Sus scrofa: one gene and its partners. The protein of the gene in region 2 interacts with the protein of the main gene of each other region in a pairwise test. Links are inferred from orthologs where the notes say so. Each region holds a gene or a part of one and is shown on either strand. Other genes may lie near its edges.

The links.
Region 1: the proteins of CUL5 (region 2) and ELOA come close enough for resonance energy transfer, tested with the Homo sapiens proteins (3 studies listed by BioGRID). The link is inferred for Sus scrofa from reciprocal best matches to the Homo sapiens genes CUL5 and ELOA.
Region 3: the proteins of CUL5 (region 2) and CCNDBP1 interact in binary tests that used the Homo sapiens proteins (3 or more experiments, as listed by UniProt). The two-hybrid records come from large-scale screens. The link is inferred for Sus scrofa from reciprocal best matches to the Homo sapiens genes CUL5 and CCNDBP1.

What each region holds. Positions count from the first base shown.
Region 1 is NC_010448.4:81,574,666-81,578,315, reverse strand, and holds part of ELOA (elongin-A), read right to left. Parts: intron 3,510-3,650; coding exon 3,395-3,509; intron 2,619-3,394; coding exon 2,463-2,618; intron 2,362-2,462; coding exon 2,264-2,361; intron 1,397-2,263; coding exon 1,216-1,396; intron 913-1,215; coding exon 801-912; intron 226-800; coding exon 44-225; intron 1-43. UniProt on the Homo sapiens protein: SIII, also known as elongin, is a general transcription elongation factor that increases the RNA polymerase II transcription elongation past template-encoded arresting sites.
Region 2 is NC_010451.4:36,418,610-36,422,696, reverse strand, and holds the start of CUL5 (cullin-5), read right to left. Parts: upstream 2,892-4,087; 5' UTR 2,399-2,891; coding exon 2,375-2,398; intron 1-2,374. UniProt on the Homo sapiens protein: Core component of multiple cullin-5-RING E3 ubiquitin-protein ligase complexes (ECS complexes, also named CRL5 complexes), which mediate the ubiquitination and subsequent proteasomal degradation of target proteins.
Region 3 is NC_010443.5:128,262,877-128,266,526, reverse strand, and holds part of CCNDBP1 (cyclin-D1-binding protein 1), read left to right. Parts: intron 1-2,389; coding exon 2,390-2,471; intron 2,472-3,429; coding exon 3,430-3,526; intron 3,527-3,650. UniProt on the Homo sapiens protein: May negatively regulate cell cycle progression. May act at least in part via inhibition of the cyclin-D1/CDK4 complex, thereby preventing phosphorylation of RB1 and blocking E2F-dependent transcription.

The DNA of each region.
Region 1 (3,650 bases), on a different chromosome or scaffold from region 2:
TACTAGTTTTGAAATACCTGAGCAGGAGCCCCAAGTTACTTACTCTTCACAGTCGGTTTCCTAGGGTCATAGGAAACAGTGTTGCTGATCATAGGTGCAGAGTGGACACCGCTTGTGCTCGGGCCGTCATAGGCTGGCTCCTCCGGGCTAGCGTTAAAGCTGTTGCTGCTGCCACTGCTGAAGGGTGCACGGCTGCTTCCTGCAGGGTACGGTGCCGGCTTGATCCTGGGACACAAAGCAAAGCTGCTAGTCAAGAGTAAGAGAGGTCTGCCCTTGGTACCAAGAGCCTGAAGCTGGCTGGTCCGAGGACTCAGGTCTGTGGCCTGGACCAATGGACCTAGTACCTTCGATTATGCTGATGGCTTGGAAGTGACAATGGTAACAGCCCTTTAGAATGAATGATGATCTCAAATGACTTTTCAGTGTTTAGGTGTAAATCTGTATTTTGAAAATGCCAGTGTACTTAGATAGCTGTGTCATCGTGGTAACATTTTTACTGTTTCAATGGGGGAAGGGAAAGCATTAGAGGATGTTTCCCAGTAGCCAGGCCCTTTTCTCCATTTAATTATGACCCCTTAAGGGGCAGGAATTATTATCTGGCCCACAATGCAGTCAAGGAAGCTGAGGCTCAGGGAGGTCAAGTGCCCAGCTGGTTAAGGTCAGCCTCCAGAACCCACTCTGCAAGGCCATGCTTTCACCCCCAAATTGCTTCCTGTCCCCAGGCTGCCCCTTCAGGCTAAATGACAAGATCCTGGGCTCTCTCCCTGAGCAGGAAGGAACCACAGGAGCAGAGGTCTTACCGGATTTTCTCAGGCACAGCTGCTCCTCCTGTTCCAAACTTCTCTTGCCTCCTTCGAACATCACGAGGTGGTTTGGCCACAGAGTTGACAAAGGCCATTTTTGCTTGTCGGCCTGTGGAGAAATGGAGGTTAACACCGGCCTTCTTCAGCTGAGATGCTACTGTTATTTCAATAATCTATGCTATCAAAAGATAAAGGTTTTGCAAATCCCTCCAGAGGTATGGGATTATCAACCCTGGAAGCCCCTCTCTAGGGCAGCATGGGCGGTGGTGGAAGAAGCATGCCACCTCTGCCCTCTTCCGCAAACGCAAGAGATCCAGGGTTCAGAGATTCTACCTCAGCCAAGCCCACCAAAGCCCTGCTGTCGATCAGAACACGGGCTCACTGCTCTGCTAGACTCATCCTGCCCCCTTACCTTTGGGCTTATTGGCGTGTGCAGATCGGATATTCTTTGTGAGGACTCGTAGCCGCTGCTCTCGGGCATCCTGAAGCCGTAGGTACATTTCCCGCCACGACTCATACTCTTCTGGCCTTTCATCCTTAAAGTCTCGGTGACAATGGACTTTCCATAATTGATCTGTTTCTTCAATTAATACCTAAAATCAAAACCAGGATGTCATTTACATGCAAGCACTCTTATACATCTCTTTTCCATCCTTAATCACCCAGGGGTGACAGGTTCCTAATGATGTTTTGGTCCTCATAATAGTAGTAATATATTAAAATACCACAGTTCTAGGAAAAAACCCAAATCACTGAATTAAAAAAATGTTAAGTGTAAGGCACTATACTAGCTGCTTTGGGGGGTTGTGGGGCTAGGAAAGAAGACAATACAAAAATTAGTTTAAGATCAGTCTTTCTCCTTTAGATAATCAGTGCAGGGCATGACCTGGGATGAAGTCAAATCCAGCCATTTCCCCAGCACTACACTAAACTGCAATGGCCAGGGGCCACCTAAGAAGGATATGTTATAGATCCCTCAGAATTAAAAAGAGTGGATGCAATCAAATGAGCATCTTCAGCATCAGGAAGATTTGGGGGGTAAATCTGCTGGTCTCTAGGAGACACCCAGCCAATCTGTGCTCTTACATTCACCAGACATCTGGGGGTCAACAAAGAGCTCTGTCCCTGCCTGGCATCCCAGGGGCTGTGCTGCCAGAATTCTCTCTTGACTTCCTAAACGAGGCAAGCTCAAGGGAGGTATGGGAAGTGGTCTCTGCCTTCCCATGGAGCCCTAGCTACACTCCTACTACCTTTTAATCCTACCTTGATGCTAGCCCAAGAGGCTCACTTAACATGCCAGAAGCAGGTGCTAAAAATAAGCTGTTTAAAGGCCCAGAGGCAAACTCAGAACAGTGATCTGACCACCACCTGCCCATCACTGTGGCCGATTCAGAGACAAAGCTATTTCTGGAGATACAAGCCAGAAAACTGCCCTCTTCCCATGCAAACAGGATACTCACATGATTGTATTCCTCTATGCGATACAACTGATCAGGTGTACACCTCTCTAGAACAGGTTCAAGAACAGAATACGGGACGCCTCCCACTTCAAAGATTGCTGCAAAGAATCAAAGGAGAAAAGCACTGAGTAGCGGCCAAGTCACCGGTGTTCCAGTGCCACAACGTGCTTACGAGCCAAGGGAGAAGCATGGGACTTACAGTCGATGTTGTTTTTAAGTACTCGGATGCACTGCTCATGCAAGGTCATCATCTTGGGAAGATAGGCACACTTGGAACCAGAATATACTTGCATCTTAGAATTCATTCTTCGTCCCGTGAATCCAGCTTCTTCCTCTTCCTGGGGTGAGGAGAATGCTGTGGTATGAGGAAAGCAGGAATGTAAGTTTAAAAAGGCACTGAGTTATCTAGTGAAAACTCTCCTTCCCATCCCATTCCTCAGCCTCCCAGTTTCCTTTCTCAAAGGCAACCAATGCTATCAGCTTCTTGTGTATCCTTCCAGGGAGTCTATACAAAAATAAGCTAATATTTTACTCCTTTTTAACCAATTAATATACTATCATCATTTTGTCATTTACATTTTAGAAATGACTCCACATCAGTATATAGACTTTCCACTTTTTTTTTGGGCCACACCCATGGCATATGGAAGCTTCCTGGCCAGGGATCGAACCCTTGCCCACAGCAGGGACCCCAGCTGCTACAGTGATAATGCTGGATCTTTAACCTGCTGCACTGCAAGGGAACTCCCTAGACTTCTTTTTAAGCCCCTGGAGAATGTACAGAATAAAGGGATCTTAGTAAAAGGAACAGTTAAGATCAGTGAACACTTACTCTGTGGAAAAACCCAGAGCTCAGAGCGTTACTGGTATTATCACTTTCAATCCACCTAATAGGCAGATACATTAATCCCATTTACAGACTAGGAAACTGAAGTCCAAGGAAGTTGTTATGACCCCATTTCACATAACTTCTAGTAGAATTCAGAGCTGGGAATTCAAACCCAAGAACTCCAGAACCTGTGTTCTTAGGAAATGTACCAAAATCTGATGACAGATCATGAATGAATTTTTAAGATCCTACTTCCATCAAAACCAAAAAAAAAAAAACAAGAAGAAGATACAGAAAATTACCTCTTCGCTTTGGTTGAAAGGAAGATATCAAGTCAAGGGGAGGAAGCGGACGGTAATTGGCCTGTATCACAGGTAATGGAAGGTCTGGTAACACTGGCAACACCTCACTGGGGACCTGCAGAGAAAAGACAAGTGACTGGAGGGCCCCTTCCCAAGCACAGCTCTTTCCTACAGTCAATGCCCAGCAATGCTCACAGGGCAGATAACTGCCCAGGCAGACCCAGCCTGGAGAAGGGCGGCAGCCAGGCCTGACAAC
Region 2 (4,087 bases):
TGGGAACCTCCATATGCCGTGAGAGTGGCCCAAGAAATGGCAAAAAGACAAAAAAATAAAAAATAAAAAAAATAAGAACATTTAGAAATTCTTTTTCCCTCTTTTCAACATTTCATTAATTTGTTGAAATTTTGTCAAGTGTATCGTTGACATCTCTTCATGTTCACTAGAGCAACGTTTACCAATTTTGTCAAAGTATTATCACTTTACTTTTTTGATAAAAGTTGTTTGAGTTACAGAATTTTTTGATTTTTTTATGAGCTTTTTTAACCTAACTCCTAAGTGCCTATTTCTATACATTCAGGCAATTTTTTCATCTATAAGTAAGTGTGTGCTGTAGAAGTAGATTCATAATCTCTGCAAGGTAACCACTTAATAGTAATCGGAGTTCCCGTCGTGGCGCAGTGGTTAACGAATCCGATTAGGAACCATGAGGTTGCGGGTTCGGTTCCTGCCCTTGCTCAGTGGGTTAAGGATCCGGCATTGCCATGAGCTGTGGTGTAGGTTGCAGACGTGGCTCGGATCTCGCGTTGCTGTGGCTCTGGTGTAGGCCGGTGGCTACAGCTCCGATTGGACCCCTAGCCTGGGAACCTCCATATGCCGCAGGAGCGGCCCAAGAAGTAGCAAAAAGACCAAAAAAAAAAAAAAAAATAGTAATGAATGAAGTAGCTTCAGACTTACATGTCCTCCAAATAATCCTTTTTAAGGCTTTGTATGGAGTAGAACAGAATAAAGTGACTTGCTCTTTTCTGAGAGGTAATTCTGCGGGGGGAAGACCTTGTTTTACAGCAACAAGTCAAAAATTCACAAAGAGGAGTTCTCCTGTGGTGCAGCAGGTTAAGCATTGTCAGTGAAGCAGCATGGGTGGCTGCTGTGGTGTGGGTTTGATTCCTGGCCCAGGAACTTCCACATGACATGGCCAAAAAGAAAAAGAAAAATCACAAAGAATGAGGTATCGAATTACTTCTTGAACACATTTCAATTAACAATGCAATTGTTTTCTATGCATTAACAAGAGTCTTCAGAACTTAAACAAGTTTTCTTTCAGAATTAATATATTAGAACTTTGCTGTACTCTCATAAAAGGGTAGAGTAGAATAGGTTACTCAATTCCCATGAACTTGTTTTCTTAGAGAAACAGCAGAAATAGTAACTCCAGTAATTTATGTGTATTGTGTACTAATTAAATGCTAGACATTGTTTTAAGATTTTTACATTATTAACTCAATTTTCACAATGCTTCTATTGAAGTGAGCTATTGACAATTCCATTGTATTGATGAAAAAACTCCCGCACAGAGAGGTTTAGAAACTTCCCCAAAGTCATATAGCTTCTAAGTGGCAGAAATTCAGTCTAGTTCTAGGTCCTCCCCTTTTAAAAGAAGATACATTGCCTCTTAAATCTGTAAGTTAGGTCTACATTTTATAAGACAGTCTCATCTATTAGACAGTTAATATTAGTAGTCTAAAGAGAACATGAATGGTTACAGTAATTTTATATCTGCCACTCTATTATTTTGTTATCCATCCACAGTCTGAAGGCATGATAGGTTTGACGGAGGAGTTCAGCCTTTGCACTGTGTTCCCTAAGTTCATCACTACCCCCAATTCAGTCAATACTTTTAAAGCAAAAGGTTCCTACTACAAACACCGCATAGAAGAAACTAGTGTTATGCCTTCTTCCTTCTCCTCCAAACTTTGTAAATGATGGTAGACCTGCCCCTCTGGCCCTAGATCTCCCTCTCTATCCCAAATATAGAAAACTAACTTTAACCGTTTTCTTTCATAAGGCAAGTTTCCCAAGCCCTAAAACGATGGCAGTGCTTCCTCAGCAGTACTGGGGTTGAGGAACAGAGTCCTAAAACATGAACTCGAGAAAGGGAGAAAGGGAGGGAAGGTGCGGCGTGCAGGAAAGGGAGGGAGCAGGGCGGCGGGCACTGCCCTGGGTCTTGGAATTTCGTGCAGACAGGAGAACAGAAATTGAGGAGGTGGGGGTCGAGGCATTAAAACCAGTTCGGCCACATTTTCCTGGATCTTCCTTTTATGCGTCCTGGACTCTCGCTTCAGAAGAACCGAGACCCTGGGAACGCCACCTGGCCGAGCCGTCCGGGCACAGCACTGTCCTCCGGGGTCCCGAAGGCACGGCCCCCAGCCCGCCGCCGCCTCACAGCCGCCGACCCGCGGGCGGACGACCGGCCTCCCGACCCCAAGGCCGAAGACCTAAGTCTGGCCCTCGGCGGCAGCCTCCCGACGTCCCTTCCCGCAGACAACTCCCGAACATTCGCACACTTCGCCGCGGAACCTAAGCCAAGCCCTTCCCTCAGAGCTGAACCAGCAGCCCCGGAGTAAAAACCAAGCCGGACGGAGGATCTTACCTTTAACAGATTAGACGTCGCCATGTTCCTTCAACTTGGACTCTCGCGAGACGGCGCGAGACTTGGCGGCGCTCCGGGTCAGGCCGCGACTGCAGGCCGGGCTCCCACCTGGGCCAGCGGCCCGCGAGGCGGTGGGTGCCAGGCGGCGTGCCGACCGCGCCGACCTCCCCTCAGGCAGCTGGAGCTTCCTCCCGCTTTCCCCTACATGGTCACCGGAGCTTCCCCGCACGAAAGAGCGCATGCAAACGCCCCGGGAGCCGCAAACGGCGAAGGGTGAGACGGTAACCGGAGCCGACCTGAATTGGAAGAGGAAGCATCGACCCCACAACCCTACCCCCTCCTTCGGATTAGCTTTTGTGGTTGCACCGCAGAGGCCCCCGGCAACGAATTTAGCTCGGCTTAGGCCCGGCAGCTCAGGGTCGGTGGCCGCATCACGTGACGCGGCGGGCGGGGGCGCGCTCGGGAGCGAGCTGTGGAGCCTGGACGCCTCGGTGGGCAGAGAGGCTGCGGGGAGGGCGCGCGCGCCCCCTGCTGGCAGGACTGAACGTCTTCCCTCCTTTCCGGCCTCCGGGGTTCCGGGGAACAGCCAATGAAACGCTTATAATGGGTGTCTCCAGTAGAACTGGCACCCAGTAAATATGTATTTGCGTGAGTGAACGAATACACACACGTATTAACTATTAATATTTCTACTCAAGAGTGCCTGGCACTGAAATACTCGATAAGAGTTTGTTCAGGTAATGCATAACAACCTTGGATTACCTGAAGACACAGTAAAGATATTAAACCATAAGCTCATAAGCTTTATCCCTTCAAACCTCAAACTACTGGCCAAAGAAAAAGAATATCATTTACATGTGGAATCTAGAATATCTATCTATCTATATATATATTTTTTTGGAGGGGGGCTGTTTTAGGGCCACACTCAGGGCATATGAGGGTTCCCAGGCTAGGGGTGGAATCAGAGCTACAGCTGCCAGCCTATGCCACAGCCATAGCATTGCCAGATCTGAGCCTAATTTATGACCTACATCACAGTTCACAGCAAAGCCAGATCCTTAATACACTGAGCCAGGCCAGGGATAGAACCTGCATCCTAGTTGGTTCATTAACTGCTGAGCCAGAGGAAACTCCTAGAATATTTTATTATACATGTTTCCAAGCAGTATTCATTCATACATTCATAATACATTAGAAGTAAATAAGAGCTATAGAGTAAAATAAAGCAGGGAAGGGGGCTGAAGCTTGGAATTTATTTTATTTTATTTTTGTCTTTTTAGGGCCACACCCAGTGGCATGTGGAAGTTCCCAGGCTAGGGATCAAATCGAAACTGTAGCTACCAGCCCACACCACTGCCACAGCAATGCTGAATCCCAGCTTTGTCTGCGAACTGCATCACAGCTTATGGCAATGCCAGATCCTTAACCCACTGAGCAAGGCCAGGGATCGAACCCTCACCATGGATACTAATTGGATTCATTACCACTGAGCCATGATGAGGACTCCCTGAAGCTTGCAATTTAAATAGAGGGATCTAAGTAGGGCTCACAGAGAAGATCGCATTTGAACAAAGTACTGAAAGAGAGAGGGAGCAGGCCAGGACATATGTGGGAGGAGAGCATTCCAGACAGGGATGCACAGGGGCAAGTTGCCCAGAGTGTCAGAGGAACAGTAAGAAAGTTGGTGTATTCAGAGCAGGGAGATTAAGGGGA
Region 3 (3,650 bases), on a different chromosome or scaffold from region 2:
GTACAACAAAGTGATTCAATTATGCATGTACACACACTCATTCTCTTTCAGATTCTTTTTCCACAGATTATCACCGAATATTGGGTAGAATTCTGTGTGCTATACAGCAAGTCTGTTGCCAGTCATTCCATATATCTCACTGTGAATATGTCAATCCCAAACCCCCAGTCCATTCTCCCAGACTTTTTTTCAGTCTGAGAGTCAGCTTCTGTTCTATGAATAAGTTCATTTGCATCCTTTTTTTTGATTCCATTTATAAGTGATATAATATGATGTTTGCCTTTCACTGTCTAACTTCATTTAGTATGATAGGTTCATCCATGTTGCTGCAAATGGCATCCATAAAAAAAATGAAATAATGCCATTTGCAAAAGTATATATATTTTTTGTCTTGTTTTTTTTTTTTTTTTTTTTTTTTTTTGTCTTTTTGCCTTTTATTGAGCCGCTCCCGTGGCATATGGAGGTTCCCAGGCTAGGGGTCGAATCAGAGCTGTAGCTACCGGTCTACGCCAGAGCCACAGCAATGTGGGATCAGAGCTGTGTCTGCGACCCACACCACAGCTCACAGCAACGCTGGATCCTTAACCCACTGAGCAAGGCCAGGGAGTAAACCCACAACCTCATGGTTCCTAGTCGGATTCGTTAACCACTGTGCCACAACGGGAACTCCATTTTTTTTTTTTTTTTTTTTTTTTTTTTTGTCTCTTTAGGGCTGCATCTGTGGCATATGGAGGTTTTCAGGCTAGGAGTCACATTGGAGCTGTAGCTGCTGGCCTGCACCACAGCTCACGGCAACACTGGATCCTTAACCCACTGAGCGAGGCCAGGGATCAAACCTGCAATCTCATCGTTCCTAGTCAGATTCGTTTCCTCTGAGCCATGACGAGAACTCTAGTACTCTTTTTATATGGAATTATTTTTACATATTTTTTCTTTTTATATTAGTAATCATGTATCAATATAAAAGTCAAAACATATCAAAGTTAAATGTGTTAAAAAGTTTATATCTCCATCCCCTCTTCATATGTATATGTGTGTGCGTGTGTATAAAGCTGAGTCATTTAACTGTACACCTGAAACTAACACAACATTGTAAGCCAATAAAAAAATTGATTTCTTCAGCAAAAAAAGGAAAAAAATATTATTTTGCTGCACCTATAGTAATAAACTCTCTCTCCTTACATATCTCAGAGATTTGTGTTGAAAATGAGAATTGTATGAGAGTACTTTAAAAGCATTGTGGAAGAAAGTTAATCTTTATTTCAAAGGGAGTAGTAATATTACCTTATTTTTCTTATCTACTGAGAGTCCTTTCTTTCAAATACACTTAGGACTTGTTGCTAAAATTCACAGCTAGTAAGATTCCACGAGGAGGTAGAACAGAACTATTTTTCTGTACATGCTCAGGCCAGTGTTTTTTTTACTCACAGATGAAAAATTAGAATATGATTTTATTTGAATCATAATTGTTTTCTTAGGATTTTGGCAGGTTAGTTCCATTGAAGAATGGTTTTGTTAATTCCAGTCCATACGGAATGGTATTTTTATGAAATTATGGTTTGGATGTTGAAGCAATGTCAAGTTGCCATAAAAGTTTCTAAATACTCTGAATCATTGTACTTACCCATCCCAGACTGGTAACAGACCATTTATGGACTGGCATCAATCCGTGGAGCCTATTTTGCATAGCACTGGCTTAGAATTTAGCAGAGAAATGAGGACAAGGAAGATAAGAGAAAGCCAATGTCTGCATAGGAGGAAAATAGTCAAAACTGAGCATTGTAGAATCCATGCTAATGACCTTTAGATATATTGAGATTCTATTAGGATCAGACAGACAAAGACAAAGAGGCAGAGAGACAGATAACTGCTTAACCATCTAAGATAGGGTTGGCAGACTTCTTCCATAAAGGGCTGGATAGTAAACATTTTAGGCTATGCAGGCTAAGAACTCGACACTGCCCTTATAGTACAACAACTATAGACAGTATGTAAATGAAAGAGTGTGGTTGTGTCCCAGTAAAAGTTTATTTACGAAACTGGCAGTATACCTGATTGGGCCCAAGGGCCCTAATTTACCAACTCCAGGTCTAAGATACAGTGACTATCTTAAAGCAGATCATGAGTATCTTGGGATATAGAGTATCAGGAATAAGTTTTTCCTGCTCTTTCTTAATGTCTTATTGAGTTGTCACCTCAGTAACTGGTGTTCAGCGAACTCCTCTCTGGTATGTGATGAGAATAGCACAAGGCCTAACTTATAATAGGACTTCAGAAAATGTTTCATGATGCTATACAGATGTTTGTGCTCTTCCACGGTAGATGGGCTGACCACCATGATCTAATTCATTTCCCTTTTTCATTCTGAAATTGGTTCATCACCTCCTAGGAAACCCAGAGATTCTGTGAACAAGTCCATGCTGCCATCAAGGCAATTATTGCAGCATACTATTCGCTTCCCAAGGATCAGGGTAAGCCTCTCTACAGACGTGAGCATTTGGTTTATGGGATAGATGTTTGCTAATATGATAGCTTATGTCCTGACACTTGTACCTTTACCGCAATTTGGTCATGTGATATAACTTTCTCCCATAAAATTCAATCAAAGTTTAAATTTATGACATAAGTGATCTCATAAGTAAGCCTTTGTGCTAAGATACAGATGGTCTCTTCCCATCTACCCTGATTCTAAGGTTTTTAATTCTCACAGGCTCCTCTCTCTCCAACCTGTTATAACCACCACAGATGCTGGCTGGATATTAGGCATACCCAGGCCACAGCCATCCCCGGGCTTCTCCACCCATATTACATCACATCCTATTTCTATCTCCTTTATAAGTTAAGAGGTCTCCAGCCTCCCCTGTATATTCATGCCTTCATTATAATCATGCTGCAATTACTATTTTTCCTTTTTGTTGCCCTGTGACATATAGAATTCCTGGGCCAGGGATCAGATCCAAGCTGCAGTTGTGACCTATGCTGCAGCTGTGGCAATGCCAAATCCTTAACCAGCTGTACTGGCTGGGGGTCAAACCTGTGTCCCAGTGCTTCAGAGATGTTGCCAATATCCTCATGCCACGATTATAAATTGAGTACATGTCTCATGGATCTTCAGGGCTACTCACATTTTTTAAACTTGAAGTGTTTTATCCACAATTGTCAAGGAACCACTGTTTTTAATGATTGAGTACATGCTGCCATGGAAAGATCTTGTTTCAGATCTCTTTTGGAAAATACCAGTAAGGAATGGTGGGAGGAGCAAGAAAATGACATTGGGATATAAATAAAACGTGAGTTTTGGGTTGGCACTCCAGTTAAAGCATGTGGGTGCACATTACCTCAAATGCTATAGGACTTAGACTCTCAGGAAAGCAGATGGTGACTTCTGGAAAGAAGGCCAGGCTGCTTAGTCATTGGTTTTGGCTGCAGGAACCACCTTGAGAAAGCTGGTAAGGAGTGCCACTCTTGACATTGTGGATGGCATGGCTCAGCTTGTGGAAATGCTCTACGTCACTCCAACGCAGAGGTAGTGATGCCACGGTTTGGGTTATCAGTTAATGGGGCTCCTTGCTTCTGGGAGGGGGAAAAACTCATTTTAACAGTGAAGTTACTGATAGCTGAGAGTAATGACCAGTAGGAAGACCTTTTTC